Oryzias latipes: one gene and its partners. The main gene of each other region encodes a partner of the protein of the gene in region 4 in a complex. Links are inferred from orthologs where the notes say so. Each region holds a gene or a part of one and is shown on either strand. Other genes may lie near its edges.

What was found.
Region 1: dnajb13 (region 4) and DPY30 domain-containing protein 1 share a complex: the UniProt entries of both Homo sapiens proteins name them as parts of the axonemal radial spoke complex. The link is inferred for Oryzias latipes from reciprocal best matches to the Homo sapiens genes DNAJB13 and DYDC1.
Region 2: the proteins of dnajb13 (region 4) and nme5 are in contact, whole or in part, in a cryo-EM structure (PDB 8WZB), measured with the Mus musculus proteins. The link is inferred for Oryzias latipes from reciprocal best matches to the Homo sapiens genes DNAJB13 and NME5. Residues at the interface, in NP_705755.2 of Mus musculus: Thr156, Lys157, Lys158, Thr181, Ile182, Asp183, Arg185, Trp188, Arg189, Gly191, Thr192, Arg193, Ile194, Thr195, Phe196, Glu197, Pro281; in NP_542368.2 of Mus musculus: Glu52, His53, Asn56, Met193, Lys199, Pro200, Lys201, Leu202, Cys203, His204, Phe205.
Region 3: dnajb13 (region 4) and ropporin-1-like protein share a complex: the UniProt entries of both Homo sapiens proteins name them as parts of the axonemal radial spoke complex. The link is inferred for Oryzias latipes from reciprocal best matches to the Homo sapiens genes DNAJB13 and ROPN1L.
Region 5: dnajb13 (region 4) and lrrc23 share a complex: the UniProt entries of both Homo sapiens proteins name them as parts of the axonemal radial spoke complex. The link is inferred for Oryzias latipes from reciprocal best matches to the Homo sapiens genes DNAJB13 and LRRC23.

What each region holds. Positions count from the first base shown.
Region 1 is NC_019877.2:16,025,703-16,031,945, reverse strand, and holds DPY30 domain-containing protein 1, read left to right. Parts: upstream 1-2,748; 5' UTR 2,749-2,816; exon of another isoform or gene 2,817-2,876; intron 2,877-2,935; 5' UTR 2,936-2,959; coding exon 2,960-3,109; intron 3,110-3,685; coding exon 3,686-3,805; intron 3,806-5,564; coding exon 5,565-5,759; intron 5,760-5,866; coding exon 5,867-5,878; 3' UTR 5,879-5,998; downstream 5,999-6,243. UniProt on the Homo sapiens protein: Functions as part of axonemal radial spoke complexes that play an important part in the motility of sperm and cilia. Plays a crucial role during acrosome biogenesis.
Region 2 is NC_019868.2:17,075,388-17,081,567, reverse strand, and holds nme5 (nucleoside diphosphate kinase homolog 5), read right to left. Parts: upstream 4,033-6,180; 5' UTR 3,911-4,032; coding exon 3,782-3,910; intron 3,018-3,781; coding exon 2,812-3,017; intron 1,906-2,811; coding exon 1,805-1,905; intron 1,611-1,804; coding exon 1,492-1,610; intron 1,403-1,491; coding exon 1,343-1,402; 3' UTR 1,247-1,342; downstream 1-1,246. Other genes in the region: heterogeneous nuclear ribonucleoprotein A/B, read right to left, coding at 1-90; rack1 (receptor of activated protein C kinase 1), read right to left, coding at 4,846-4,911, 5,127-5,237, 5,442-5,582, 5,830-5,940, 6,150-6,180. UniProt on the Homo sapiens protein: Functions as part of axonemal radial spoke complexes that play an important part in the motility of sperm and cilia. Does not seem to have nucleoside diphosphate kinase (NDPK) activity.
Region 3 is NC_019878.2:13,556,979-13,563,329, forward strand, and holds the start of ropporin-1-like protein, read right to left. Parts: upstream 3,729-6,351; 5' UTR 3,576-3,728; intron 3,316-3,575; 5' UTR 3,276-3,315; coding exon 3,145-3,275; intron 1-3,144. UniProt on the Homo sapiens protein: Functions as part of axonemal radial spoke complexes that play an important part in the motility of sperm and cilia. Important for male fertility.
Region 4 is NC_019872.2:16,412,503-16,418,653, reverse strand, and holds dnajb13 (dnaJ homolog subfamily B member 13), read right to left. Parts: upstream 3,709-6,151; 5' UTR 3,588-3,708; coding exon 3,514-3,587; intron 3,414-3,513; coding exon 3,310-3,413; intron 3,108-3,309; coding exon 2,946-3,107; intron 2,856-2,945; coding exon 2,707-2,855; intron 2,421-2,706; coding exon 2,307-2,420; intron 1,329-2,306; coding exon 1,215-1,328; intron 1,140-1,214; coding exon 1,063-1,139; intron 947-1,062; exon of another isoform or gene 858-946; coding exon 692-857; 3' UTR 592-691; coding exon of another isoform or gene 477-591; 3' UTR 393-476; downstream 1-392. Other genes in the region: ucp2 (mitochondrial uncoupling protein 2), read left to right, coding at 18-119, 201-381, 477-591. UniProt on the Homo sapiens protein: Functions as part of axonemal radial spoke complexes that play an important part in the motility of sperm and cilia.
Region 5 is NC_019865.2:13,825,394-13,831,405, reverse strand, and holds lrrc23 (leucine-rich repeat-containing protein 23), read right to left. Parts: upstream 3,827-6,012; 5' UTR 3,562-3,826; coding exon 3,487-3,561; intron 3,323-3,486; coding exon 3,213-3,322; intron 3,131-3,212; coding exon 3,010-3,130; intron 2,799-3,009; coding exon 2,657-2,798; intron 2,476-2,656; coding exon 2,345-2,475; intron 2,189-2,344; coding exon 2,052-2,188; intron 1,968-2,051; coding exon 1,763-1,967; intron 1,670-1,762; coding exon 1,637-1,669; 3' UTR 1,495-1,636; downstream 1-1,494. Other genes in the region: transketolase, read right to left, coding at 700-806; RNA-binding protein 10, read right to left, coding at 4,575-4,665, 4,758-4,801, 4,895-4,942, 5,120-5,311, 5,455-5,511, 5,617-5,808, 5,996-6,012. UniProt on the Homo sapiens protein: Essential for sperm motility and male fertility. Plays an important role in the proper assembly of the third radial spoke (RS3) head and the bridge structure between RS2 and RS3 in the sperm flagella.

The DNA of each region.
Region 1 (6,243 bases), on a different chromosome or scaffold from region 4:
AATAAACTCCAGAGCACAAAAGCGCACTTAACCATTAAAGACCCCACAGCCTGCTACCTGATTTACATGAACATAAACAGCAGGCAGGCCAAGTGAGACGTTACCTTGCGCAATGAGTATTTTCACGGAATCTTCCAAACTTGGGGGGGAAATATTAGCGACAATAGAGTAATCCTTTGGTGCCTCGAGTGTGCGCGAACTTCTGCCCCCGTGGCAGCCGGGGTGAGACCTCAGGACAGCTGTTGCTGACGCAAAGGCGCGTCTTGGAGTGAAACAGGAGGACTAGCTCCAGGTATGATCAGGTTCAACAACAGGATTAATCCCCACCGGTTCCCACACAGCTGGTCGTGTTTGCAGTCACAAGACAGCCAATGAATGAAGGGGGTCCAGTCTGAAGGGCTGTTGCTGCCACTGTGGAACCTCACCATGCACCTTCACAAAGCTCTTCCTGCAGATTAGAAGTATTTTTTTTTTATCCTTAAAAGTTTCTGGTTATACAAAATGATTGTTTTATGTATAAATTAACACACTGGGAAGATTTCCAACATTTATGCATATCACCTATTCTTGGGTATTTGTGTTGTGATTTCTTTAGAAAATATGAGGAAAGTCCCACCAGCAGTGTTTTGGTCTGTGATCCTGACAGATAATTGAGTAAAGACAATACATGTTCAATTTGACCACTTTGGATCATTTACTGACAGACATAATAAGTAATCTCCAGACTGTGACCGAATGCCCTCTTACATTTGCACCCCCAAAGGGAGACTGGGTTTGATAGTTGTTAAAAATATACAATTAAAAACTTGACACACGTTCCATAAAAGAGAAGGTTAAAATAAAGACAGTTGGACCACACTCCAGCACCGCATGAGGGAGGCTGCCTCCAGGATCGCCTCGGCCCCACTGCACCGGTGGGTAGCCACGACGACCACCACCAAGGGAGATCTCTAATCCAAACCCTCACCAGGAGTACCTGCTCAGGGCCCAAATTCACACAAACACACCACAACCCAAACAGTGATTAAAAGAAAATACAAAACAGAAGAGGTGCAACTGAGCAGGACACCACTAATTTGTAGGCCGGAAATGGGGGGGGGGGGGAAATCCCCCTTACACAATACTACACATGGCACCCACCAGCTACCGTAAGGATAAAGGGAGGAGGCAGCCACCTCCAGCCAGGTCCAACCACCAAGAGACTAAAATGAGCAAACAGTTTAAAAAAATGGATAAGAGCAAGGGTGTCAAGCTTGATTTAAACATTAAAAACACTAAGCAAAACAGCAGTGGCAACTCTGCTGGAAAAAGAAAAATAAGTTAGTTCTCCCTGGGACAAATACATGTTTACAAACCCTTATGTTACCGCTCATGCCCCAGGGTCAGAACTCATGCCACCACCTGTTAATATAAATAGAATTTAAAATGTTGCAAACTCAAATGCTTAAAAAACTTTTGTAAAAGGACTCAAATGATTAAGCTTTAGCTTAAAAAAAAAAAAAAAAAAAAAAAAAAAAAAAAAAAAGCCCACATGTCAAGCTCACCCACCAAGGCCAAACCAGCATCTAGGTGGAACTCACAGCTGCTATTTATCAGCCTCATGAGCCAATCACAGCTCAACAGACAGGTGCTGGCCATGAATATTAACCTATGGAACACCACGAGGGACAAACTACCACCCACAGCCCTGTCTGTCATATAACGATAAAACAGGGATAAAGAGGGAGTTTCCAACTGAGGTCTGTTTCTAACAGTTTGTTTAAAACAAGGTTTTTTTTTATAATGAGACTGCCACTCTGTAAATAACAGAACCAAAAAAAAATCCAAACAATTGCAAAAATCCCAGTGCAAGAAATTGTAATGTAATATGGAGGGGAAAAAGATGAAAAATATATATAAGACATTCTAGACATGTATCTTTCTCAGTTATTATAAGTGGCAATTTCTCCCATTTTTCTACTTAAACATATTACCAAATGGCCCACTTTTTAAGGACAGAACAGTTTATCATAACAGTAGATAAAGCCATTGACTGTACAATAGGACATTATGTTTTAATATATCTATTATGCAGTCAGTAAGACTAACAGGGTCTGCGCCACCTAGTGGTAAAAATTTCGTAAAAATGCACAAATCACATTTTTCTTTGAGTGTGAATATAGAATCTTCCAACAATTTTATTTCTGCTTTTATTAAATAACTATGTAGTAGCATCTGCACCATTTAGATTAAGATAACTATTAGTTTTATGAATTCCTTTTTTAACATAGTCTTTTGAATTATTCCTCCCCCAATTTCTGACATTCTGTGACTGATGTCTCTTTCTGCTTCATAACACATTGAAGCAAAACTTGTAAAGATGCAAAAGAATTTTAATATTGTTTTATTGAGTTTAACTACTGGAAAGCAATTTAAAACACATCTCAAAATGATCACTTTCTCGTCAAAATATTTAATCTGTTTCACAAATACTATTTTGTGCGTCTGTGTATGGGTGTGTGTATGAATGACAATGAGGTTTTTTCACAAATATTTCTTTTTGTCTGTAGTTTTTTTTGGGGGTGTTATTAATATAATTGAGGATTATTATTATTATTATTATTATTATTATTATTATTATTATTATTATTATTATAAAAATCATCATCACCATCATCATATTTATAGTAGTAATAACAATGCCTGAAACAACCAATGGTTGCATTATAGAAATGACATCGAATACAAAGCGGAACTAAAAAACGGTTGGGAGACTTTAAACTGTGTGGGACCGTTACCACGGAGATGCAACCGTCCGCATAAAACAGTAAAATACGGTAATTTCCGTGTTAATTTTGGCTAATTTGTGCAGGTTTTATCCATAAAATCGCTTTCAGGTCATTTTTGTTCGTCATTATTGCCTTAATAGCTCCGAGCCTCCATATTTGCTCTGTAGATAAACAATCAGAAAACGTGTAGCATGATGGATTCGGAGTATCTTAATAAACATCTGGGGAAATGTTTGGCTGAAGGACTTGCTGAAGTGGTTGAACGGAAACCCGTGGACCCTATCCTTTATTTGGCCCACTGGCTGTACAAGTATAACTCAAATACGCTGTACGAGAAGAAGGTGAGTCGTTTTGTTGTTTTCACCAGCAGGGGGCACTAAAGGATGCAAACACAAAAGTTGTTGATTTACAGTGTTTTTAAGCATTACGTGGTTTACTTTTCCGTGTTTTCCATTTACAAAACGCTATAAAAACATAAAGTGATTGCATATATCATAATTTTTTTGAAACGTTGTCTTGCAAATGCAGTGCTGAATTAGAAACTATTAGAAAAGTGTGTAAACACACCAACCATAGTGTCATTTTTTTTTTAAAATGATGGATCTAGATTTTGCACTCCAGCTGCTTCTGATTATACCCATGTTGTTGCATGCCGTCAAACAGGTTTTAAGAGGATAACAGTGTTAGAGCACGTAAACTCATTATGCTGCAGGATGTAAAATAAGTAGGGCCTCAACAACAAAGACTCACCTTTTACCTTTAACACAGAAACTGTCTGTACCTCTACTGACACACAGCTGAGCCCTACTTAAAACAAAATGAAAGTTTAAACATTTTATGGTTTATATAAGATGTATACTTGTAAACTTTAGACTTGTAAGCTTAGATTTGTTCCTGTATCACCTTTGTATTTGCAGAAGAAGGCAAGTCTGGCTCTGCTGGATCAAGATCAGGAAAAAAGCAGCCAAGAAGCATCACATCAGGAAAATCTCACAGAAGAGGAGCAGATCAGTAATGCATCAAAAGGCACAGAGAAAGTACTTTCTCACTTTCTATTGCTAACTTAAAAGTATTTGATTTTAAACATCCTGAATGCATAGCTGACATTTTTAAAGACCTACTCTAACCATCTTTTGATCTATTTTCACAGAATTCCCAGTGGTCTTGTAATTCAAATTCAACTTTACTTGTGCACCACTTTTTCGACTACAAAGCCTCTCAAAGTGCTTTCCATAATAAAATAGATAATTGTAAGATAAAAAACAGTAGTTAAAATAGCAAACATAGTAAAAATAATAATGATAAAATAAAATTAACAACATTAAAACACATACAGACCCAAAACATACACATCCCACAGGTACAATCAAAATGAAGCGCATCAATTGCTGATAAAATTTATAAAATCTAATGAAAACATGTTGACAAGTAAAAACTACATAAAGGCTTTACTAAAAAAATGAGTTTTAATTTTTTTCTTAAAAACCTCCACAGTGGATGAAGCCCTCACCTGCCTGAGGAGACGTTCCACATGGAAGGCCCACAGTACTGAAATCAGGCCTCGTCGTGGGTTTTTGTTCTGACTTTTGGGACCACCAGCACACCTCCACCTGTGGATCTAGGAGGGTCATAAACTAAAAGTAAATCTAATAAAAAAATGAGGGGCCAACTCCATTTAAACTTTTAAAAACAAATGAAAAGAACTTTAGAATCAATCCTAAAGCTGACTGGGACCCAGTGGAAAGATTTCAAAATATTTCTTTATTTTTTTTCTTTAGCACTGCAATAGCCTGGTTTGTTTAGTCACAGGAACAATTCAAGCTGGCCATCTCACCATTTGCAGGAAACGTTCCCAGCTAGGTTAATTCACAGCTTTGCTGGGCTCAGGTGAACGTCGCGTCTGCGACTATGATTGTGCCGTATCAATCAATTATGAAGATTTTAGTCAAAAATCTAAAATCTGTGGTTTTCCGGGACATAGTTTCTACAGAGCAGTAGTAGTTCATCAGAAATATGCCTCTGATTCGTGGGTGGTTTGACCCCTTCCCCCCTTACCGGTACCAGTATTTTGAAACCCTCTCCCGTTAGCTTACAGCCCCTCACACCCACCTAACATGACTGGTGCAACAGAAATGGTGAGCAATACCGGAGCTGTTCAGATGTACAGTTTTGAACCACATGCCAGCTTGGACGAAGAAAACGCCGACGTACCTGGATACATAACAAATATGATCTTTTTCAAACTGCATTTTTTTGTTTGCTCCCAATTAACAACAATTTGAAAAAAGAGGTACTTAAAAATACAATTTAGAGCTTAACTTTCTTTTCATATTATGTCCGCCATCATGACATCTTTTGAATATCAGGCCATTGTTTTTAACAACATGTTAAAAACACAGTTTTCATCAGAGTGGGTCTTTAAAGGCCTAAAACTTTAACCCCCCTCTGAGGAGCCACAGATTAGCTCAGACACTAGAGACAGACGCTGAGACAGACAGCACTATTCAATAGTTAAGCATCAGGAGGCAAATGGGCAGCGCATGAGGGAGGCTGCTGATAAAATCGACTCCAGATGAGTCACGCACACTGCAGAGACAGAATTAAGGAATCTACTCCAGCGTTACAGGCAGGATCTGCACATTGATTCTTAAAAAATGCTGTATAATACAAGTTTGAAATACATTGCAGTCTGCTTTAATAAAACAAATGCTTTTAATAGTTCTTATGTTGAGCTAAAAGTCCTAAAACTCTTCAAAAAATGTGTTTTTTAAATGTAATTTCTTTACTTTTTCTTAGACTGATGATGTGGAAACTGAGAAACTTGAAGATGTCATCCGGTCCTCGTCAGTGCTCCAGAGTGAAGATGCTCAACCCGATGAGACAATTCACCATGAAAAAAAAGAGGAAGACATAACTGACCGCAACCATGAAGAAAAGGAGGAAGAGATGAGAGAAATCAAAGCAAGTCCATCTCCTATCGGTCTAGAAAAGGTAAGTATTTGTTGTTTTTCTCAAATATTTGGTACATCAAAATGTGTGTTCAAAAAGTACAGAAAGGAGCAAACGTTTGCTGGTATTTACTGGACACTTTATTGCAGGAGGCTGCATGATGGAAATTTTGGACCAGTAAGTCATTGGAAGGAACCAGAAAGTCATCAGAAGACTGCCGGAATATGACAGCAATGACGGATCACAAGATAAATAAATAAAAAGTGCTATTTTTTTCCTGATATCTTTGTTTAACATTTTGATATTTTATTTTATTGGAGTAAATTAAAAATGAGTTAATATTGTTTTTGTTATTTAGATCGTATAAAAAATTGCCACCTCACTGTTTCACAATAAGCATGAAAGGACAAATATTGATTTTTGTAATTTTATTGTCTTTTATGGCTTGTTCAAGAAGTGTTCAAAACTTTTAATAAAGTCATTTTAAATTGAAAAAAAAGCTGTAGCTATTATTAGACTGCATATT
Region 2 (6,180 bases), on a different chromosome or scaffold from region 4:
GCCGACTAGGCCGGCTCCATTAAAATCATCGTCGAGCTCGTGCCCGTTTTCCGACGTCTCCATGTACTGCTGCTCCGCTTCTTCAGACATTTTTCGTACTATGACACCTACACCCGAGGAAACGATAGAAACATGCCTGTTAATGTCGGCGTCTGTCGTGATTCTGTTCGCCATTACCCCATTACGAATTCACGCTTTTCCCACCATTTTGACCAGCAGATTGGCATTTCATACATTCCAGTTTAAACCGGGTTTATAGCACCAAAAACTCATCTTTTTTACAACATCATCATGGCGGCGACTATCGCCAATCAAGAGTTGTTCTGCCGGGCGTAGAGATTAGCGACGTTGTAGCCATCTCACATCGATAAACCCGGACTGTGCAAATTAAATTCGCAGTTACGTAAGTCAGAGGCCACGCAGCCCTGAAAATTATTAAAATCATGAAATATCGTTCTTCTGTAATCAATATAATGAGAACCGTTTAAAACACAAACAAAGAATGCAGGTAAAATTGCGATTGCGTCGAGTTATGATGAAAAAAAAAATTATAACAGTCTACTTACAAGCCTAGCAGCCGGAGAGCTCTCTTCAAAATGGATTCTCCCACGCGACGAGAAACTCATGGTTGGTTTTCTGGAACCGGCAGGGGGAAAAAATTGACATTTTTCCAAAGAAGCTTTCTGATTGGACAAGGCCGACTGTCAATCACAAATCAACCTATCACACCAGAGTTAATCTCTCTCCTCTATTTTTTTAACACCACTCGTTTCCGCCCCGCAGACGAGGGGAAGGAGTTTAAAAAAAGAAGTGCGGCGTTCACTGATATCAGTTAAATGAATGATCATTACAACGCCCATGTATCCCCTTTCTTTAATTTTATCTTAATCTTTTTTATTTAAGTTTGTATTTTTCTGTATTATTGTTTTTTTTTTACTTAACTTTATTAAGGTTGTTTACATTTTTCTATGCCTGTTGTAATTGTAATTTGATGAACACTTTATACGACGGCGACAATGTTGTAAACATCAAGTGTTTTTTCTACTTAAAAAATGACGCTTCCGTAGCGAGATTAACGATCGAAAATCTTCCGTTTTCACAAGTTTCGACGCAACTCAAATGCAGCACATTCATCTAGTCAATTCTTAAAAAATATAAAAGCTTTCAGTATGTTAGAAAAAACACTCGAATACAATTTAGAACAAAACTTAGTTGATAATGTCACAAAACAAACTTAATGCACAAACACAGCTGAAAGTTGTGTGTTTATTCATAGAAAGTGGTACATAAATTGAATACATCTGGAACTTCCTGAGTCTTTTATTTTGATATCATCCAAGAGTTAGAAATATGTTTGAGGCTGATTCGGATTGTTTTGCAGCAGCCAGTCAGCAAGCCAAATCTGTAAATAAAAACAAATAAATAAATAATTAAATAACAGGAAAATGCTACTAATCAATAAAAAGAAAAATCTGCATAGAGTAAACTAACAACAGGATTGAGGGGCTTTTCTTTACAAAGCTCTGTGAGTCCACGAAGCAAAACCGGCTTCAGACACCTGCTCAGGTATTCCTTGGTTTCATGCTTTGAAGGGGAAGGCTCAATGAAAGCTACAGAGAGAAACAGGAAACATCTATTAAGTCATATAAAATTATACATTAAATACGAAGAGAATGGTGACAATTGGTAGAAAAGAAATTCAGTCTAGTTGTGAGTGAAGGATTAAAACAAGTTTACATGTTTTTGTATTTGTTGTAGTAGCCCTATAGACAACAAAATGTGTAAAAAAGAAACAACAGCTTACAGTTTGGGAACATGAATTTAATCTCCCTCACAGCTTCTTGAAAGGACTCACTGCCGTGAAGAGCATTTTTCAGGTCAGAAGTTCCATATTTCGCTCTAAGACTGGAGAAAATCAGCCATATCATCAGACTAAAGATCTAGATCAGGGGTCTGCAACCTTTTAAGCTACAAGAGTCACTTGGTCTAATTTTCTACTGAGAAAAACACAGTAGAAGCCGCAAAGTCCCACTTCACAAGTTTGGAAAAATTCCTTATTCATGCTTTTGTGGCCATTCATTCACAACATGGAGCTTTATAGCATCGACAATAACTGAATTAAAGTGAAAAATATATATGACATAGTTTTAATCAATTGTTTAATCACATCTATTTTACTTTTAAGAACTGCACAACAATTTCATTTTCAAAATAAAATACAAACATCTGCTAAAGCAGATTTAAAGTTAGCAGATTTACAGAATTAAAAGGGCTAATAAAATTGCAAATCAAACATGGCATGTTTTACAAATATGTCTTTGGTGCACAGTCTTGCTTTTTTACCTTTTACAATACTATCAAATATATTAATGACATCATTATTTCTAGATCCATACATGTAAACACAATTATTTACTTTGAATACTTTGCTTCTGAACAGCAACTAGACACTGTGGTACAGCAGAAGATTGGAAAATGTGCTTTATCTGCATCAGTATGGGCATCTGAGATAAAAATCTAAGCATAACTGACAACTTAACGAGAGAAAAAAAAGAACCAAAACCACAAAAGCATGATATATTACAATCGTATGCTTTTTTTCTTGAAAGCCAAAGAGCCACAATTGAGGGATAATAGAGCTGCATGTAGCTCTGGAACCTCAGGTTGCAGACCTCTGATCCAGATATTCTTCATTGACATGTCATAGTAAAATTTATTCTATTATGAATGTAATGAAATGAAAAATCTACACTGATAAATACAAATGTACTCCTCTGTTACGGTATAAACACAAATAAACATGAAACAGACCACTCTGGCTGACTTTCTTTGGCGTTTGTGATGCTGGCAGGACCAATGATGGACTTCCAGCGTGTGACAGCATCCTCACAAGCCAGCACCATGGCAACGATCGGGCCGGAGCTCATGTAAGCCATCAAGCTCGGAAAGAAAGGTTTTCCGCTGCAGTCTGAGTAGAAGTCACTGCACTGCTCTTGACTCAGCTGCAGCCTTCGCTTCTAACAGGATTGGAGAACGGACAGCAGAACCATGGCAGGAGAGATGACTATTTAAACTTGACAGAAAGGTTTTTTTCAAACACGTATGTCCTCATGATTTTCAAACATCCTACATGAATTAACAGCTAGAGTAGGCTGTTCAAAACTGACGTTTACCTGCAGTTATAATGAAACCACTAACCTTTTTTTGCTCTGAAAGCTAGAAGATCTTGTAGGTTAATACATTACTGTTCCTTCACGTGACTGAGAAATTTTATTTGTACCATCCTTAAAAAAAACTTCTTGTCTTCTGCATCTCTAACCCTTGTGCCATCCTACATTTCATGGACACCAGTGAAGATTGCAAATCATTGAAGAAAAAAGGTTCAGCGCACTGTATTGTGGGGTCTAGATGACCCAACTCCCAATGTTTAAGAGCCTAGGATAGCACAAGGGCTAATTGTGTCAGAAATGACTTTAGCTCGCTCACCGAATTGTTTGGATTAGCGCCCTCAAGTGGCCAAATGATCTCACTGCTCATTTGGCCACTGTGTGTGAGTTCTTGTTACATTTTGGAAAAATAAACAGTTTCTACACAGCATTTTATTTATACTTCTAGCAACAACAAAAAAAACCTTTATTTTTATTGTTAATAAACTTCACATGGCAGTAGACATGTGTCCACTGCGTTAATTAAACGTTGGTCACACAGAAAACTACTCCTTCTAAACGTAAATAGTCTCAGTTCTCAGACGTGTAGGTTTGCGCATCAGTGATTTACTAACCTGCAGGATTGTGAGGCCCGACTGAAGGATGAAACCTTCGATCTTCTCGGCTTTTTCATAGATATCTGGCTTTATGATCGCCAGTGTTCGTTCTACACGAATTTGATCGCCTAAATGCGTAAGTTCCATCTCTGTCTCACGCAAAGTAAAACTGATTTTTATAGGAACGACAAGAAGTCCTCCTCGTCCCACCAATTCAATACCCCTGCGCTGTTTTGGTTGCTACGCTACCATTTCACAAGTACGGGAGCTGAGGAGGGACAAACTTCTTTTATTTCCTACTTGCCACGTGAGAAGCCTTTAAGAATGAAAACTAAGGGTGTAATGATAGATTTTAGCAATAATTCGATATTTATGGTTGCTGATTCATATCGATTCAGTTTGAATGATCCGATTCACTGACCTAAAATGGATCCAGGAGATCTTTAGCCAAAACTTCAGTGTGACTCGGATAAATACCTGGTACCTTGTATTTCCTACAAGATAAGTTTAAATTGTGTACAAAAAAACTAGTAAACAAGAATTAATGTCAAATCCATTCACATTTTAGTTTCATAAAGTTGAGCCCACTGTTTTTCCACATCAACCTAATCCAAAGAGAACATTCTACCACACTGGATGGTCACATCTTTGCAAAATTAAGTATTTCTGCACATTGGAGTGGAATGATCAGTTTTTGCTGCAACCCATGCTTCAATCCAAAAGGCAGTTTCCAGTATTGATTAATTTCATTTCTAAACGATTTTATAATGGTCTGGGGTGTTTTGATTAACTTGCCACATGCATCAATCTGGATGGATCATAGGAATATAAATCAATTCAAATGTTTCACTCCTACAATTAACTTTATTCATGATTCAATGTAGACCTCAACATTTCAAACTTAAATTTGTTAACTAGCTTTTTAAATGATCTTGCATCAATATTATAAGTAAAACTTTGATTATGAGCAGTCTTCTAAAATGACAAACTCAATCTGCGTGAAAGTAAAATATTTAAAGTTAAGACCAACACACAACTTTTCAAACAGTCTTTTTATTTAAAGTCGATGCAGCGATGGATTCTTATCGGGTTCCAATGGTGACCTGCCACACTCTGATCAGGTTATCGGTGTAACCAGCAAACAGGGTCTGCAAGCAAATGAAGGATGGAAGTTACTGATCACAAAAACCATTAAATACATTGATTATAGCCTTGATTTTTGTCCTTTCCCCTCATATTTGCAGGACTGTCAGCAGTCAAAATCAGAGCTAATAGTGAATGGGTATAATCACTGGGGGTTAGAAGGACAGACTAGCTTTAGCAACAGCCCCATCTTGTACTTATGTCAAGAGGAGCTGAATACCTGTCCATCAGCAGACCATGCCAGAGAGGTGCACTGTGGGGGCTCGGCTTTGCTGTTTGTGCTGATCACTTCCTGTCTCAGCTCATCCACAATGATTTTCCCTTCCAGATCCTGCACACAGAATAAACATTTACCGTATGACTAAAACAACTCAAAATAACAGGCAATGTACAGAAATGACTGAAGCTAATTAGTCTGGAGCTCAGAAACAGCCTCTGTTATCATCAAGCAATACAGTTAGCATTTTCAAGTTTCATCAAGGCCCATCAAACCACATTCAGCAGTAGTTCCACATCATCACGTAGGAGCTCTCACCCAGATCTTGATGCTAGGGCCAGTGGCGGCACAAAGCCAGTAGCGGTTGGGGCTGAAGCAAAGGGCATTGATGACATCGCCGCTGTCCAGGGTGTACAGGTGCTTGCCCTCGTTCAGATCCCAAAGCATAGCCTGGCCGTCCTGATTGAGAGAACATTAACAAGAAAATAAGCCATGACCACACAGCAGCTCTGTTCTGGATCTTCATTTAGCGTGGCTTTACGACTCAGTGTCACTCAGAAACAGCCTCTTTTGTCATCAATTGTTTACCAACAGAATGATGTGTTATTTATCCATCACAGTTGACACCTGGAGGTCGGCCTTTGTGTGCCATCACTAAAAATCTTCACAAGTATACGAGTCGAGTTCTCCAACTGAACCAGCTTACCTTTCCACCGGATGCACACAAGGAGCCGTCAGGAGATACGGTCACCGTGTTCAGGTAGCCAGTGTGGCCGATGTGGTTAGTCTTCAGCTTGCAGTTCGCCAGGTTCCACACCTATAGAAACAGCAGCAGACAGTGACCGTCAAGTTTACACTGACATGAAAAGACCAGATAAAACTGTGGAGACGTGCTCTCATCCACAAAGCTTCTCATCAGAAACCAGGTCAGGTAATACATGCAAACTTCTTTAAAATCATGGAGCATATTTTTCTATTGTTTTTAAATCAATCTAATGGCAAATGAAGGGAAGCGGAAGTACAAACCTTGACCATCTTGTCCCAGCCGCAGGAGACA
Region 3 (6,351 bases), on a different chromosome or scaffold from region 4:
CTGCACTAGCCGCAGGGGTTGCAAGCCAGTTGCCTCTGTGCCGGTCCCAAGCCCGGATAAATAGAGAGGGTTGCGTCAGGAAGGGCATCCGGCGTAAAAATTGCCAAAATAACCATGCGAATCATCCACAACACTTTAGACATACCGGATCGGTCGAGGCCCGGGTTAACAACGACCGCCACCGATGCTGTTAACCTACAGGGTGTCGGTGGAAATTTGACTACTGTTGGTCGAAGAAAGAGGGGAGGCAGAAGGGTCCGGGGCCAGAGAGAGAAGGGAAAAGGCAGGAACATAGGTTTGAGAATAGGGACTCTTAACGTTGGCACAATGACAGGGAAAGGCAGAGAGCTGGCAGACATGATGGAGAGAAGGAAGGTAGATGTACTGTGTGTGCAGGAGACAAGGTGGAAGGGCAGCAAGGCACGTAGTATTGGAGGAGGATACAAACTGTTCTATCATGGTGTTGATAGGAAGAGAAACGGGGTAGGAGTGATTCTGAAGGGGGAGTTTGTAAACAGTGTTCTAGAGGTGAAAAGAGTCTCAGACAGGATGATGAGCCTAAAGTTAGAAATTGAAGGGGTGATGGTGAATGTAGTCAGTGGGTATGCGCCACAGGTTGGCTGTGAGTTAGAAGTGAAGGAGAGATTCTGGAGTGAGTTGGATGAGGTCATAGAGAGTATCCCCAGAGGAGAGAGAGTTGTTATTGGAGCAGACTTTAATGGACATGTTGGTGAGGGCAACAGAGGTGATGAGGAGGTGATGGGCAGGTTTGGTGTGAAGGAAAGGAATCTGGAGGGACAGATGGTGGTGGACTTTGCGAAGAGGATGGAAATGGCTGTAGTCAACACTTACTTCCAGAAGAGAGAGGAACATAGAGTGACATACAGAAGTGGAGGTAGGAGTACTCAGGTGGACTACATCCTATGTAGACGAGGTCATTTGAGAGAGGTTAACGACTGCAAAGTGGTGGTAGGAGAGAGTGTAGCCAGACAGCACCGCATGGTGGTGTGTAAAATGACTCTGGAGGTCAGGAAGAAGAAGAGAGGGAAAACAGAAAAGAAGACCAAGTGGTGGAAGCTACAGAATGAAGAAACTTGTGAGGAATTTAGGCAGAAGTTGAGACAGGTCCTGGGTGGTCAGGATGAGCTTCCAGATGACTGGGAAACTACAGCAGAAATTATCAGGGAAACAGGTAGGAAGGTGCTAGGTGTGTCATCTGGAAAGAGGAAAGACGGTAAAGAGACTTGGTGGTGGAATGAGGAAGTACAGGAATGCGTCCAGAGGAAGAGGTTGGCTAAAAGGAAGTGGGATGTAGAAAGGACTGAGGAAGGTAGACAGGAGTACAAGGAAGCGCAGCGTAGAGTGAAGAGAGAGGTGGCAAAGGCCAAACAGAAGGCTTACGATGAGCTATATGACAGGTTAGACACAAAGGAAGGAGAGAAGGACTTGTACAGGCTAGCCAGACAGAGAGACAGAGATGGGAAGGACGTGCAACAGATAAGGGTGATTAAGGACAGAGATGGAAAGGTGCTAACAACTCAGGAGAGTGTACAAAAAAGATGGAAGGAGTATTTTGAGGAGCTGATGAACGTGGAAAATGACAGGGAAAGAAGGGAGGAAGATGTGGTTGTTGTGGAGCAGGAAGTAGCAGAGATTGAAAAGGATGAGGTTAGGAAGGCTCTGAAAAGGATGAAGAGCGGAAAGGCCGTTGGTCCTGATGACGTACCTGTGGAGGTATGGAAGTGCCTAGGAGAGACAGCAGTGGGATTTCTAACAAGGTTGTTCAATAGGATTTTAGAGAGTGAGAAGATGCCTGAGGAATGGAGGAGAAGCGTTCTGGTTCCGATCTTTAAGAACAAGGGTGACACGCAGAACTGCAGCAACTATAGAGGAATAAAGTTGATGAGCCACACAATGAAGCTGTGGGAAAGAGTAGTGGAAGCCAGGCTTAGGAAGAAGGTGGAGATTTGTGAGCAGCAGTATGGTTTCATGCCCCGTAAGAGCACCACTGATGCCATTTTTGCTTTGAGAATGTTGATGGAAAAGTACAGAGAAGGTCAGAAGGAGCTGCATTGTGTGTTCGTAGATTTAGAGAAGGCGTATGACAGGGTGCCGAGGGAGGAGCTGTGGTACTGTATGAGGTCGTCTGGAGTGGCAGAGAAGTATGTCAGAGTAGTTCAGGACATGTATGAGAGAAGTATGACGGTGGTGAGATGTGCTGTAGGTCAGACAGAGGAGTTCAAGGTGGAGGTGGGACTACACCAAGGATCAGCTTTGAGTCCTTTTTTGTTTGCTATGCTGATGGACAGGCTGACAGACGAGGTAAGACAGGAATCTCCCTGGACAATGATGTTTGCGGATGACATTGTAATTTGCAGTTAGAGTAGAGAGCAGGTGGAGGAACAGCTAGAGAGGTGGAGGTTTGCTCTGGAAAGAAGAGGCATGAAGGTCAGTCGTAGTAAGACAGAATACATGTGTCTGAACGAGAGGGATCAAGGTAGAAGCGTTAGGTTACAGGGGGATGAGGTGAAGAAGGTGCAGGAGTTTAAGTATTTGGGGTCAACAGTTCAGTGTGATGGGGAGTGTGGAAAAGAGGTGAAGAGGCGAGTGCAGGCAGGTTGGAGCGGGTGGAGGAAAGTGTCAGGAGTGTTGTGTGACAGAAGAGTGTCAGCAAGACTCAAAGGAAAGGTGTACAAGACAGTGGTGAGACCAGCTCTGCTCTATGGGTTAGAGACGGTAGCAGTGAGACAGAGACAAGAGGCTGAGATGGAGGTAGCGGAGATGAAGATGTTGAGGTTCTCCTTAGGAGTGACCAGGTTAGACAGGATAAGGAACGAGTACATCAGAGGGACGGCTCATGTTGTCTGTGTTAGGGACAAAGTCAGAGAAGCCAGACTGAGATGGTTTGGACATGTTCAGAGGAGGGATAGTGGATATATTGGTAGAAGGATGTTGGAGATGGAGCTGCCTGGCAGGAGGGCGAGAGGACGGCCAAAGAGGAGATACATGGATGTCTTAACAGAGGACATGAAGTTGGCTAATGTTAGGGTAGAAGATGTCCATGATAGAGTGAGGTGGAAAAGGATGATTCGCTGTGGCGACCCCTGATGGGAAAAGCCGAAAGAGAAAGAAGAAGAAACTCACGCTGCACTCCAGGCAAGCAAGTCCATGGGCTGCGTTCGGATGGCTGCTTTGGCGAAATTTTTGAGGATATCTGGTAGTTCTGGTGGAATGTTGATCTGCTCGGCACAGTACAGTGTGTCTGGAAGGGGCATGGCTGAAATACGTGCACTGTAGTTTGTCGGCCAGCAAGTACTAAACAAAAATAAGAAATTAATTGTATTAGTAATTTTTAGTTAGTTTAGTAGTTTGGTATGAATAACCCATTTATTTCCCTTCCAAATAAAAACATTGCATTAAACAAACAATAATTGAAGTGTTAACAAAATGCAGAAATCCCTTACTGACTACGTCACGACATCTTTGCAACATTTAGCATGTGCGTGCATCACACATACGTTTAAATTAAGTGATAATTATTTATAGTGCTGAGAAAAACAATCATATTACGTTACCTGGAAAAATATGTAGACTGTAAATAGTAATAAGCAAAAAATGCCTTAAAATGTTCACCAAAAAATCGTAATTGCTGTCCTTCTGATTTACGCCACAATTCGTGTCCGTAAACTGACAGTTGTATATTACCGTCGCATGGCAACAGAATTCTTCTTCTGTCGCTGAGGTCAATGGAGCCGCATGTGCATATCGCCCCCTGCTGTTTTAGAAATGTTACTACAGAATGTCATTGACCCTTGTGCTATCCTAGGCACTTTACCATTGGGAGTTGGGTCATCTAGACCCACTAGACCAGGGGTCGGGAACCTTTTTGGCCAAGAGAGCCATAAACGCCACATATTTTGAAATGTAATTTCGAAAGAGCCATACAATAATGTAGTGTCCCTTTCCCACACTGAGGCACGGAGACTTAACCTCTTTTAAGGTTCTTTATTCGGGTTACTGCAGACCGCGACAAACGCCGAACAATTAATTCAGCAACTCCTGAATCTCTCCCGCCGAGACGAGACGAGAGCGCGTCTCCCAACTTTATATTCCCCTGCTCCCGCTGCAGCCCTCCCCTTTCCCTTATTCGGCCCATAGCTGAACCCCATTGGTCCAAACTACCTAACAACAGGCTGAGCGACAGAACTGAGAGCCAATCAGCTCTCTGCTTGATGCGGTCAATGAACTCCAGAACTTTTAACGCGGCCCAACAGCCATCCAACTCAGTCCGCGACAATATGTTTAAAACTAAAATACAAGTGAATGTGTGCATTTGATGTAATTTCAACCTTTTTAAAGTACAATAAGTCTGTGGATTCTTTTTAATAACATTGTTATGCTGTTTCTAATAAATGATGAGTATTTCTCGTGGTAGTTTTGCTGATGGTCTAGTCTGGTTTACGTGGTGAGTTTCTGCTTCATGCAGGCGTTGAGACTTTAAACGTGATCTTAGGTTGGTATGAATGTTTTGTAGATGTGAGACAGACTGCTCACATGCGGACCTGGAGCCAAACACACACTCACACGCTGCAGTGAGTGACAGGCAGTGGGTTTTACCTATTTACAATCCCTGCGCGATTCACCTGCTGCCTGTCCCCACAACACCTCAGCCCCACCCTCTGCTTTCTCCCTCACACATCCCGTCCCCGCAACTGCGCGCTCTTTCTCAGAGACGGGAGCGCGCAGTTTTAGGCACGGCAATTCACAGGTTTCCGGGTGGTACAAACTCTGTGAATTAATAGACAATTTTAAACTTATACTAGTGCTGGCGCAGGAGCCAGTTTAGCTCATGCTGGTTTGCGGCGCCTTCCATCCGTGAAACCCGAGTTCGACTCCGGGCTGCTCCCTGTTCCCTTCTCTACCTCTGCTGGTTCCAAGCCCAGTTTGAGAAGGTTGCGTCAGGAAGGGCATCCGGCGTAAAACATTGCCAAATTTACCATGACCCCTGATGGGAGAAGCCGAAAGTGGAAGAAGACTAGTGCTGGCGCAGATTTGTCTCTCTAAGCACCGCTACTACTGCGCGCCTCTGCCATCGCATCGCGCACGAGAAGGACTGGTCTAATGAAGAAAAAAAATTTGAATTAAAGATTTGTCTGCGAGCCACATGTGACCATCAAAAGAGCCATATATGGCTCGCGAGCCTTAGGTTCCCGACCCCTGCACTAGACAGTGCTCTGAACCTTTTTATCTTCAATGATTTGTGATCTTCACTGGTGGATTACATGAAATCTTTCCACCTTTATCATGGTAGGGAGAACACATCAATGCAAGGGTGGGGTCATCTAAGATAGTACAAGGGTTAAACTGAACATGCATTATTCTTTGGCACAGTTCACTACTGATCTGAAGGTTTTTCTTTAGTGTAACTATAAGTACGTAGATAAAAAGTGTGTGTCTATATTCTAAAGGCCACAATTGTGTGATCTGATGCATCAATTTAAAGAACTGGAATTCAACTCAGTTTTATTTATATAGCCCAATATTACAAAACAGTTGTCTCAGTGGGCTGCACTAATTATACAAAACATAAAATCTGTTATAAAATAGAAAACTAAACAGACTAAGCTAAACTGCCTCTACACCCTGTGTCTCGGTAAGGAAGGTCCAAGTGTTTGTGTGTGGAAGTGTTTTTGAACACAGTTGAACAATATTTACCAAATTTGGTCTTCTTTCTACATAGAGTTCCGATCTTCAATTTCAGGCTACTAAAAGGTTGCATGTGCATATATATATGTCCATATAAGCCATGCAATATGCATGAGACAGACTCATAGTGAAGCAAGACCATCCATAAGCAAAAAAAAGTTTATTAAACAGCATCTTGAAGATACAAGTTTCCACAGACTGATTAGAAAAGAGACAATACGACTACCAACATTTGGTAACCAAAGCGGCAGGGGGGGGAATAATCCCACAGAAAAAGAAGAATAGACATCAATCCTTAACTGCACGACAAGGACAAAAATGAGTCACATACACTGGGTGCAAAATGGTTCTACAAGTTAAATCTGACTAAGCAGAAAAGACTTGTAAACATTTTCAATTCAACTAACTTAAACATCATATGGGGCTGGGGTGAAGACACAGATTCCATTTCCAAGGTCAATACGGAAGGACACAGGAACAAAAAAAAAAGAAAAATTCAACATAAAGGATGGATTTCAACAAAAAATACAGGTTATGTGGACTTGACTTTTCTATAGCTCAACACATTAGTCCCCTTTTATCCTCGCCAAGTATTGCTTCTTTTTCTGCTCCGTACAAAAATAAAACTGACTTGCCCCATAGTCA
Region 4 (6,151 bases):
CCTGGTTTATCACACAGGTACTGGTCCAAATATTGCACGCAGTGCTATAGTTAACTGCACAGAACTGGTGACGTATGATTTCATTAAGGACATGCTTCTCAAATCTACTCCCTTGACAGGTAAACAGTGGTTTAGTACAAATGTTAAAGGTAATGCTTGAGTGATGTCTGTGTGATTTGAAACTGATCTTTATACTACAGACAACCTGCCCTGTCACTTTGTGTCTGCATTTGGTGCTGGGTTATGCACGACAGTGATCGCCTCTCCTGTCGATGTGGTCAAGACGAGGTACATGAACTCTGCTCCAGGCCAGTACGGCAGCGTGCTCAACTGCGCTGCTGTCATGATGACCAAAGAGGGCCCCTTTGCCTTTTACAAAGGGTAAGCATGGATTGTGTTTTACCTGAATGTTTAATAAGGATGCACATTGAATACAAAGAAGACAATCATGTTGCTCTCGTGTTCTCACTTAAAAGGTTCATGCCATCGTTCCTCCGCCTGGGCTCCTGGAACGTGGTGATGTTTGTGACGTACGAGCAGCTGAAACGAGCTATGATGGCTGCCAATCCCAACAGCTCGACTTCAGTGTGATTATTGCAGTTTACATAAGGATCATTCACATGTCTATCAGCAATAATTTCAAGAATCTTACAGTATTAATCTGCATATCAAGGAAGAATAACAGATGAATCTAATCTTCATAGCCAGAGCTCAGAGCCTGCTTGATCAGGCCCTTGCTGTCAGAGGAAAGCTTTTCTGGAAACTGGATCTCAAAGGTGATGATGAGGTCTCCTCTCTGGGAAGAATCCTGGGATAGGGGCATTCCTTCTCCTGTCACCACCTTGTTGTACGCTGGACTGATGTGTTTTCGACGATGCAGAAAAGAAAATAGCACATTACCTTGACCTGATTATGTAACATTTTTATAAATAACTTAAAATTTTTTTGTTGTGTTTCCTTTCTCTGATGCTAAACGTCATGTCAAGTTTACAAAAAAACGGAGTACTGCATTATGCAGAGCTCATAGTAAATTTTTCACTTGCAGCACGCAAAAGCACTTACTGCACAATGTCATTGATAGGAATGCTGAGTAGCCTGCCATCTAGTGTTGGGATGTCCACAGAGAAGTCGGTCAGTGCCTGTTCAGATAAGAATCATCATCAGTCTTAGCTTCAGATGAAAACAAACAGTTACAACGCCATTACATTACTTACATTCATCAGAGAGATCTTGAGCTTGTAAATAAGGTCGTTGTGTTGTCTGATAAACAGAGGGTGACTTTTATGTCGCACTATTAGCACTACATCTGCTGGAGTCCTGTCTGGTCCCTAAAAAAGGTTTGATAAACATAAATAAACAATATGGGCATAAAAGGCAATCATATTAGAAAATCGAAATACTTCGGGAAAATCAACCTATACACGGCTTTTACTTTTTTTTTTAACTAAAAAAAGCAAAAAATAAAACAATTTAATTAATAAAAGAGGATCCTATAAGAATTCAGAAAAACAATGCTGTAGAGACTTACAAAACTGTGCCTTTTCATTACTAAAACTACTAGTATTAATAGAAAACAAAATACACAAACAGAATGCCGGTGATTTAAAATGAGCAAAGAGAAGGTCACAGGAAAGGAATTTTACAAGTTTTTAATGCTTCTTCGTCATATGATATTCATCAATACTAATCATAATTCATTTTATAATGTGAAACTATTTAAATGTAATATTGACTGATAAGTCAACCAGTGAATGTTGCTTATAACCAAGGGTAATTTCTTTATAACATCGAGTAGAATTTACCTTCTTAAAATAGTTAATCTCTTTCATTTAAACAATTATCATCCTCATTTTCATTATTAGTAATTTTATCCCATTTTCACCAGGAACTCTCACACACATTTGGTGAATTTCACAAATTGTTTGAAAACAATAAAACAAACCAATAAAAACACAAATATGATTGACTATTTTATATAGAAAATCAACTAAAATTTTATATAAAGTAAACGAATTAATTGAAAGAAAACTACCCAAAAATTTGTAAGTAGTAGCTAATTTTCAAGAAATAAAAATAAAAATGGTTACAACACACTCCTTATTAAAGCAATTTCAATTTTAAGCAAGATATATAGATGGATTGATTGATTAATATTAGGACGTTTTGCGGGGTTATGGGAGTTATTGTAACAAACACCAATAGGATCATATTATTATGACATAAGCTGACACCAAGAAAAAATAATATAAATTAGTTTCACGTGAGTTTTGATACATAATAAAAAGTTTCTTAAAGACTGAATTTACTTGATCTCCCTCTTTTGGGAAAACGACTCTTGTGCCTTCGCGCCATCCTGGCTTCACATCTACAGTCAGAATCTTATCTTTGATACAGGATGTGTGTCCATCATCATTCAGAACCTGTAAAGAAAGTGAGGATGAGGAAAACCTTAATGAACAAAACTATTGTAACTGTTTTATTAAATAATGAAAATGACTTCCACAAAAGTTGTTAGTGTTAGAATAAAAATTACCTGTGAAATCATTTTTCAAAATAAAAGCCTTAAACATGTGGAAAGTGTGGCTTCGTTTGTCCCAGAGATTTTTTTAAGTAAAATTTTTCAAGGTTTTGCCATATACCAAAGTTGTTTAACTTTCTTTGCTTTCTCCGGGTTAGGGTTAGGGTTTTGAATGCAGCAGATCTTACCCTGCGTGATATCTTGATTTTTTTGGTGCATCCCAAGAAGAGATCCTCAAGAGTCAAATAAAGCTCTCTCTCTATTGGGGGGTCCTGCGTCTTCTCCAGTTTTGTTTGCGGCACACCAAACTGAAGTGGTGCATCTTTGGTGAAAAAATCTAGCAAAAGATTAACATTAGTAATTGCAATGGATAGGTTTTCAAGACAGTATTTATACAACGTGGGGTTTTTGTTTGGGCTATTCTTACCTGCAAATGGGTTGTCACCTCCAAAAAACTGTCTAAATGTTTTGTCTGGATTTCCATGGTAGGTGTATTTGGATGACCAAGCCCCATCACTGCCAAACTCAGGTGGGATGCCAGCTTTCAGGCCCTCCTCACCAAATTTATCATAGATTGCCTTCTTACGAGCTTTAATTAAAAAGGGAAAAAAAATTACTTCTTCGTAAGTACTTTTACATTTATTTAGAGATTATTTTATGCTATTCTTAAATTCCTGCAAAGCTCTGAAGAACTGAATGCTAAATGCAGCATTTTTGTCATAACAATATTTTTAAAAGGTCACGTGAGCGACGGAGCAGCCCGGTAAAGAACGTGAACCGTGAAGTCTTACGGTCGCTCAGGACATCGTAGGCTTCACCCAGCAGGGAATACTTCTCTGCGCTTCCAGCTTCAGCGTTTCTTTTCGGATGAAACTTCACAGCCAAACGTCGATACCTGCGCAGATAATAATTTCATGACTTGATCCAAAACAAGCAAGCAGCAAATAGAAGACAGAGCTAGCAGCAGGTGATTGATTTCTTTAAAAGTAACTCACGCTTTTTTGATTTCAGCGTCAGATGCTGTCCTGTTAATTTCAAGAGCCTCATAGTAAGCGTTGTTCAGGCTCATTACGATAAAACCCTGACGGCAAAAACCTATATGTTCTCGACGAGTTTTTTTTAGACAATCCGAAGAGAAGTCCGTACGTTTGGGTTCGCTGCCTTGGCAACCACTGATCGGACCTCTCGCGAGATTTAAAATGAATCTGAATTTGCTGGTATATTCAACTGTCTTGACCAGTGGCGGTTCTACCCTGAATTACTCCCCGGGCGAGACCCTCCCCCGGCCCCCCCCCCCCCCCCCCCCCCCCATAGTCACAACAGAACTTTGTTTGTCTTTGTCAACTGACATGTTATATTGTCATTGAAATTAAGAAGTGGATACAAAAGATGTCAGAATTCTGAACAGCATTATAATAGTTATCAGAACACAAAAAATAAAAGACCATAAGCATGGCAAAAATACAGTTAGCTAAGAAATATTAAATCAATATTAAATAAATAATATAAAATAAATATTTTAAAAACATTTATGAATTGGAAATTTAAATTGTCATGTTCTATATCGATCTCTACTTCAGAGAAGAAAAATTAGCTCATATTTTCCGTCTTCAATCCTTTGATTGGAAAATTTTCAGTTATGACCTGTTGAATTATGTTTTGTCCCCATAGATTTGCAGTAAATGGTAAATATTCATTTTTAAAACTACCTTCAGATTTATGGAAATTCTATTGGCTAAAAATATAATCCCACATTTGTAAAACAAATAAAAAATAAACTTCATATGCAGGCTCAAAATTAACCCCTAAATCCCCAGTTAAATGTCAAAAAAACATTGGGAAAACGTTTAGGCTGCCACAAACGATTATTAAATTTAAGACCAATCTCAAATTATTTGCCCCATTAGCATCTTATGGCAGCAGCAGCATGCTGTGTAACCATCACAGCTTTTTTAACATTATGAACTAGTATACAACAGCAAAACCCAACAAAACCTTTGTGTTACAGCAGAGCAGACAGACACATGAATCATAACTAATGTTACAAGTTAAGGCAGAGCAAATTTTTAAGAATAAAATCTAAAAAAAAAAAAAAAATGACGCTATTTGCAACATTTGGGCCTACTTCAGTGTTGGTCATCGACCAAAATAAAGTTTTCATCGGCAACATTGTTGTAGGGCAGGTAGCATTAGAATTTAGAAAAGACATGCATCAAGCTGTGAGGACTTACCCTTTTCTTTATCTCTTTTCTCCTCTTCTTCTTTTCTTTTCTTTCTAAATTGGGCACCAGATGGCTTTGACCTTTTTTTCTCCATATTTTAGATGTTTTTGGCGTTTGTTTGGCATAAATGTCCTCACGTCACGAAGAAGACATCAAGTCCGTCGACTGAACCAACTGTCACCTTAGTGACAGCATTGTTTTGTGTTGCCATTTTTTCATTTGGGCATTTAACACAAAATTAACCCAAAAAAAGCAGAATATATTTTCTATACCTTTATTAAAGTGTAGGTTATAGAATGTCACCTTATGACTGACTTATAAAAAGGTTTTATGAAGTAGATTCAAACCCCCGCCCTTGTCCCCACCTAGCCACTTAATTTGGAAGCGTCCCACAATTGAACTGATTCCCCGCAGCCCCCCCCCCCCCCCTTTCTTCACACATTTCCAGCAGGAGCGCGTGCAGCTATAGCCAGGGGCGCTGATTCGCTACATGACGGCGCAGTCGCAGTTTTTACTTTTATTTTTTTCATCAAGCCCGCGACCGTCGCCTCCCCTGAAAGATGAGCCCGCCAGGTTTTGCGCATGCGCAAACGCGGTGGCGCTCCGTGCTCCCCCCGCGCCCCCTCCCTTCTTCTTCACACACATTTGTGTCTACTTCTCAAAGACAGGAGAGCGCACAGCTGCGGGGCGAGGGCGGCGGCGCGGCCAGGTTCAGGCTGTTACAAACTCACAAACTGTGACATAAGTAAACCAATAGTGGTGCATATAATATTTTACAAGGGCTGAGCCGCCGGTGCCGCCCCCCTTCAGTTTTCCGCCCCAGGCCACCGCCCGGACGGCCCGTGCCTAGAACCGCTACTGGTCTTGACATAAATAAACTAAAATAGTATTTCAAAATAATAACACACACAAACAGTAGAGACAAAGAGACCCTTAATCAAATAAAAAACACGAAGACATGTAAAAACTACTTAAAATGCTAGCTAAACAACGAGTTTTTCATTAAAACCTCCACAGTGGAGGAAGCCATAACATCCTCCAACAAGCTGTTACACAGTGCTGGAATGTGGCCTCGCCATTGGGTTTTAGTTCTGACCTTTTGGACCACCAGTGGACCTGCAGGATCTGGGAGGGTCTTGAACTAAGTAATGGTCCAGTTCCATTAAGAAATTACTAAACTAATAAAGGTTAAACAAACCACAGCAATGATGGAGTGGTCAGCATGCTAACATCATATAACTGATTTTAAAATTAAACAATCACCTAAAGACAATATGTCCTGGATATTCATCAGATGCATTTACATTTTGTGCCATGTCAACATTTATAAGTTTGGGCTTTTCTTTTTTAAAGGGATTATCCTCGTCAGTGAACATTTTCAAGTTATTTTTTTGTGATTTTCAGTGAATGA
Region 5 (6,012 bases), on a different chromosome or scaffold from region 4:
GGGGTCGATAACTAGCAGCGTGTCTTCTGGCTGGACTTTCATTTCTGAACGTGCCGACAGGCAGTCGAGCAAAATCCACGTGAAAGCTCTGAAGGACAACCGGCATAAAAAAGCACTTCTATAAAATGAAGATTTCCGTTTGGACTTGGATCCATCTATAAACTCAAGTGGTTTATTATGAAAACACGATGTTTGAGTTGGTTTTTGACGCTGATCGGAAAACCCGATAAGGCTAAAGTCGGAGATAAAACAATGGCACAAGTGCTCGTTTTTAAACTTGACACATTGAACATTACATACATTTTAGAACAATAAAAAATAATTTAAAAACAAATAATCACAGCTGTAGAATCTACCGTGTTGTACTAACCACGGGACTCACCACAAGCATGTGATCTATTTGCTAATAAATAGCAATGGCGACTCGAAATGTCAGTATCATGCCTTCTATAGGTTTTTTATTGTCTGCATAGTAAAAAAATGTTAGCTGCATTGAGTTGAAATGTACGGCAAGTAAAAGCAGACAAACTGCATTCATTGAAACTTCACGCTAGCTTCTGCGAAGTTGCGCCGCGTGAAACTAATCCACCGCACGTGCAAACAGGCCCTCGCAGTTAAACGCCTTTACTCGGTAGTCACTTTTTCTTTCAAACGCAATACTTCATTAAACTCCAGAATTATTATTTTAAAAAAACTTACCCAGAGTTAGAGGCGCATGTTGCCTTAATGGAGTTGATCCGTAGCTTGTTAGCGACGTCTTTCAGCCCCTGCAGGGTCTTCTCGTCGGGCTTGTGATAGTTAGCCATGTTTATTTGGACTTGAAAGGGACGTTAATGAAAGTGAATTTAATGTGAGTTGTTTTAACTGCAGTGCGTCTCGGGTGTCGTGGGTTCAGTGCTACTCCACGCCGATGCTAGCTGCCCCAATGCGAGCCTGAGAGGAGGGGAGGGGACGACTGAAGGGGAGGGAGCAGAAAAAGGCAATCCTATTACGTCAAATCGCGCTTTATTTGAGAGGCTGTTACTTAACTCCTTAACTGTTCATCTTCAAAGACGTATTTAAAGTTTTATCGTTAAATTTCATGTTAGGAAATCTCAATAAATTCCACAGATAACAATAAGACCGGTGACAGATATACCATATGTACACAAATGCATCACGGTGCAGCGTGAAAATGTTATTGAAAACTGTCAAAACTGCAACAAATTAAACATATATATTATAATATAGCTGACATCCATTAAACAGTTAATTAGAACATGCAGGTTATGCATTAATAATGTTTCACATACGTTTTTTTTATGTTACTGTCCCTTTAAGGTCGCAGGTGGACGTCAGCCAACTAGGAAGTGCGGTCAGATTTTGCCCTCTCATTCTTACTCAGGGAAAAATGTATGACAATGCATGGATTATAAACCAGCCCCACCTTTAATCCTGCAACTACATGTTGTGTATGTGATTGTTCTTGTTAAGACAAAAAAAAAAAAAAAACACTTCACAAGGCAATTTTTTTATTGTAACAATTTGGAAAGAAAGCTTTTCTAAAATCAAACTTGATGTGCAATCACGATCATCATCTCTTGAAAGACCTGCTTTTTATGCCCAGCACTTCCTCTCACAAAGATCTTATGAAATCTTATGGCTCAGGTACTTCCTCTTCCTCGAGTTCCTGAAAAGATAGAAATGTCCTTTTTTTAAAAAAAAAAAAAAAAAAGGCCAGAATATGTGATCTGATCACACCACAAAAATATTAAGCATTTACTCTGATTCTCATCTGATTGTCACCCCTCTCCGCAGGTGTCACAGGCTCCTTGTCGAGTCTTTTCAGCTGCGGTAAAAGTGTCAACACATTGGGGCGATAGTCTGCTGTTGCCACCAGCGGGTTCTCAGAAAGAACCAATGCTTGCAGGCTTTTTGCCACAAGGCCAATGCTTTGCAAAGCTTTTTCCTCTGCAATTAAATTGCCTCTAAAAGATGGAAACAAACAGAAAATATGAACTCTTAGAATTTTTGTAGGTACCACAATGGGTCTCTCACCTTCTTACACATACCTGACATTTAGATACTGAAGACACTTCATGTTGGGACTGAGGCCTTCTAGAGTTTCTAATTTATTATCTCGAATATGAAGGATGGCGAGAGACTCTAACTTGTCTAGACCTTCAAGATGCTTGATCCCATTATCAGCCTATGAAAAAGGGGAAAAAAAGGTAATAGCAATTCTAATCAATATTTTGATATATTGTTGTAAGGAATAGTGGTACGGTATTGGAAGAGCATAATTTTAGTGATAAGAACTTTCACAGATATTAGTCATTTTAATAAAATAACAGCTTTTATGTACCAGATATAATCGTTGCAGATTTGGAAGGTTGAGGCCATCAGTGGTTTCCAAATGGTTTCCTCTCAGCTCCAGAGTAAGCAGATTTCCAAAGCAGCTAGTTTGAAAACAATGCAGCGACTGAATTTTGTTTCCTGAAAAAGAGGTCACTGTGTCACTTAAAATCTATACTAGGCTTTAAATGTTTAATATTTCCAAAAATGTGAGATAGAAAGTATTTTACATCGTAAATATAATTTTAAAATATATATATATATATATATAATTTTAAAAATTAGATTATTTTAAATTTTGGAATACAGATTAATCAATAACCTGTAAGATTGAGGCTCTCCAGGGCGGGCCCAACCAGGCCATCGGCATCATTTAACTGATTTGCTGCCATATTTAGCCTTTGCAGATAGATCAGCTCAGCAAACGGTTGTCCTCGGAAGCTCGCCACATCATTTTTGTCAACCTGCAGTTTGTCGATCATTAAGAATGTACAGACAACCCATTATAACTATTGGTGCTGTTTGAAGGACCATTTTAAAACCAGAGGCTCACCACTAAATCCTTTTACCTCTCAATCATAGAGGAAATTAGAAACAATTCAGCAATTAATGTCATTTCAAATGAATGAATCTGCCACAGAAATGATCAAGACAAATCTAAATAAAGTAGGCTACCTTCAGCCACAGGAGCTGCTTTAGGGAGGCCAGAGGAGAAAGATCAGTAAGGCTGTTGTTGGATAAATCCAATAAACGTATGTGAATGTAGCCGCTGATCGCAGCTAGATCATTTAATTTCCTGTGAAGTAGGTAGTAAAGAAAAATCCATTAGAAGCTGATTGGGTTAGTCAGTCCAGTTAAAATGTGTTTTGTCTGCTTACATGTTATTGAGGTTTAATTTAATAAAAGCATGTCCAAGTCTGTCTACTGTCCTGCACAATAATGAAAGTCCCTCTTTTATTATGTCTTTGGTCAATGTGTGTGCTTGAGCCTTTAAAAAAACAAAACAAAAAAGCTTTATTTTAATGAACAGAAGTTTTGAAATTCATTTCAGTAGCTGTCAATGCATTACTGTAGTTTACGAATGAACTTTTTTTTCCTCAGTTTCTGTAAAAATCAATGTGTGTTTTTTTTTTTTAACGGATTTTTGTGTACCTTATCGCCTTCTCCTTTCGCATTAGTTGTTTCCTCCTCATCTTCCAAGTCCGACAGTAGAATTTCTTCCTCCATAGCGGGATTGAACCGACTTTAAGCTAGCCAACAGGCTTCCAGCATTCGGTACGACGATAAGCAATAGTGCAGTTTTACGCGGAAATGAGTGGAAACACGAGCAATTCAAAGGCTCTATTTTCCGATAATATTTAACAAGGATTATGGTTAATTTGGGTATGGATGGTACGAGCTACACCGAACATACCAAATTCTAATAGCGTTACCATGGAAACTCCACAGCAACAACTAACCCCAACTTCGGGTAGGGCCAAACTTAATGACAAAAATTGTGAAATACTAGTAAACAAAAGTAGACGTTGGTCAAAATGTAACATTTTTTTTAATCTATTTTACACTTGCAGTATTTAATTTTTTGTAAGTGAAATTAAAAAGTTAGTTTAGCAACTGCGACTACCAAAAATATGAAATAAAAAAAGTATGTTCATATGTAACCAAAAAAAGAAAACATTGTTTGTAGAAAGCGACTTTTGCAGATACTCAACTTCTGCAAAAGAACGTTTTTTTTTCTGCACAACCAATTAAGTAAGTGATCATATTAAAAAAAAAAAAAAAAAAAAACAACAACACAGACACACAAAAGTGTTTCCGTAAAAACTTCTGAAATATACACAGTTTATGCTGGGACCCATCATTTATTAAATGACAGCATATTCTTAAAAAACAAATAAAACTATATGGTACAGTGACTGAAAATTCTCATTTCATGACATTTAGACCTGTGTAGAACTTTCCTTTTTCTGAAAGTAAGTGATTCTGAATTCACATGTTTAATTCACACAAACTGAAGCAAGAGGAAATCCTAAATCACACAAAAAACAAGCAAAAAGGTGCAATTTGTGCAATATCTTGACATGTACTGCTACAGGATCAGTCCAAAGAGGTGCTATGTTCTTCAGACTCTAGTATCGTCAGACCAAAATATATTTTTCTCTGTCTATGTAATGGGGAAGAGTGAAGTGTTTTGCAGGTGAGCTTGTCCTTTCTGGATCAGGAAATTTACATGTGAGAGGTCACTCTATTTCTGTATTATGCAGTAGAAGACTTCTTTTCACTCCTCCTTGCAACATTCGTGCTCCAAGACTAATGCCGGTGATGCCTTCACTATACAGACAAGGAAAGGATATAAAAAATTAGGCAACACACCTTAAAAAAGTTACATTATTTGTATTAAGTATTGAGCATCACTGACTTACAGAGGGTTAAACTTTCGCTTCCTAGAATCTGGAGGTTCAAGTCTCTGCAATGTCAAAACACAAGTAGAAACTGCATAAAACCACTCAATATTGAATGCATGTATTGTTGTACAATCCATGCACATGAACTGACCAACCTCTCTGCTTACAGCATCCAATTGTTTTTTTCTCTGCTCCAAATTTTGCTGTAAACAAAGATACAGACGCAGGACAAAATGTTCAAACGTGAAAATAAAGATTTTGGTCAATTTCTTTTTCTCATTTAGTACACGAAGACACGTGTAACAGACCAACGCTTTTTGTTGACTGTCTAAAATCTTTTGTTTCACATCTTTATTGGCATTAAAATGGAATAAACGTACCTTATGCAGTTCTGAGAGCTGCTGATGCCTTATGAGCGCCTCTTTGCTTGGAAACTGCCTCCTACATAGCAGACAGGCAAGTTTAACCCAGTCTGTCATTTTTCCCTCCTTATCTTCTTTATCTCCTTCTTCTTCGCTGTCAGTTTCTGCGCTGTAGGCTGGGACCAGGCCGTGCTGTTGAGGAGGCGATTGCTACACAAAGAGTCAAAATCAAGACTTTACGATGATGATGAAGTGCAAAGCAAATACATTGAATCTCTTAACTGTAAAAAACAAAATGACGTTATAAAAAGTATGATTAAACACTAGCAAATATTCTACATCATTGCTCTTACTTCTGTGCTTTGTCGCAGTTGGTCCAGAAAACTTTGAGGCCTTTCTGACAGTGCCCCCTGTAGGACAAAAAAGAAAATGTAAATAACCATCCAGTCTTAAGTCCAAATGCATTGTGACAGACATATCCCCTTAAGCCAAGTGTGTACGTTGGCCTCGTGCACCTTTTTCTCTAGTACAGCGTATCCTGCATCTGCACTTGCAGACTCCCTCTGATCATCCAAGCGACTGTGGCCTGGAGCCCGAGTGTATCCAGGTGGGAGAGAAGTGGACCCAACGGCAGACGAAGAACCAGATCGCATGTTCTCCTTTTGTCTATTGAGGCTTTTGGCCCAGCGTTCCATATCTTTTGCAATCTAAAAATGCAGACCACAAATACGTCAAAATCTTCTAAGATGTGTACGTCAGTTTGTATGTGATCTTATTGACGATATCATAAATAGATCGTTAAAAAGTAAAGGGAAGATAGAATATAAAAAGGAGTAAAATCTCCGAGCTAGTTCCATTTCTCCACAGTTGTGACTGGTCTTGAATGTACAGTACCTGTTGAGCAGTTTTGC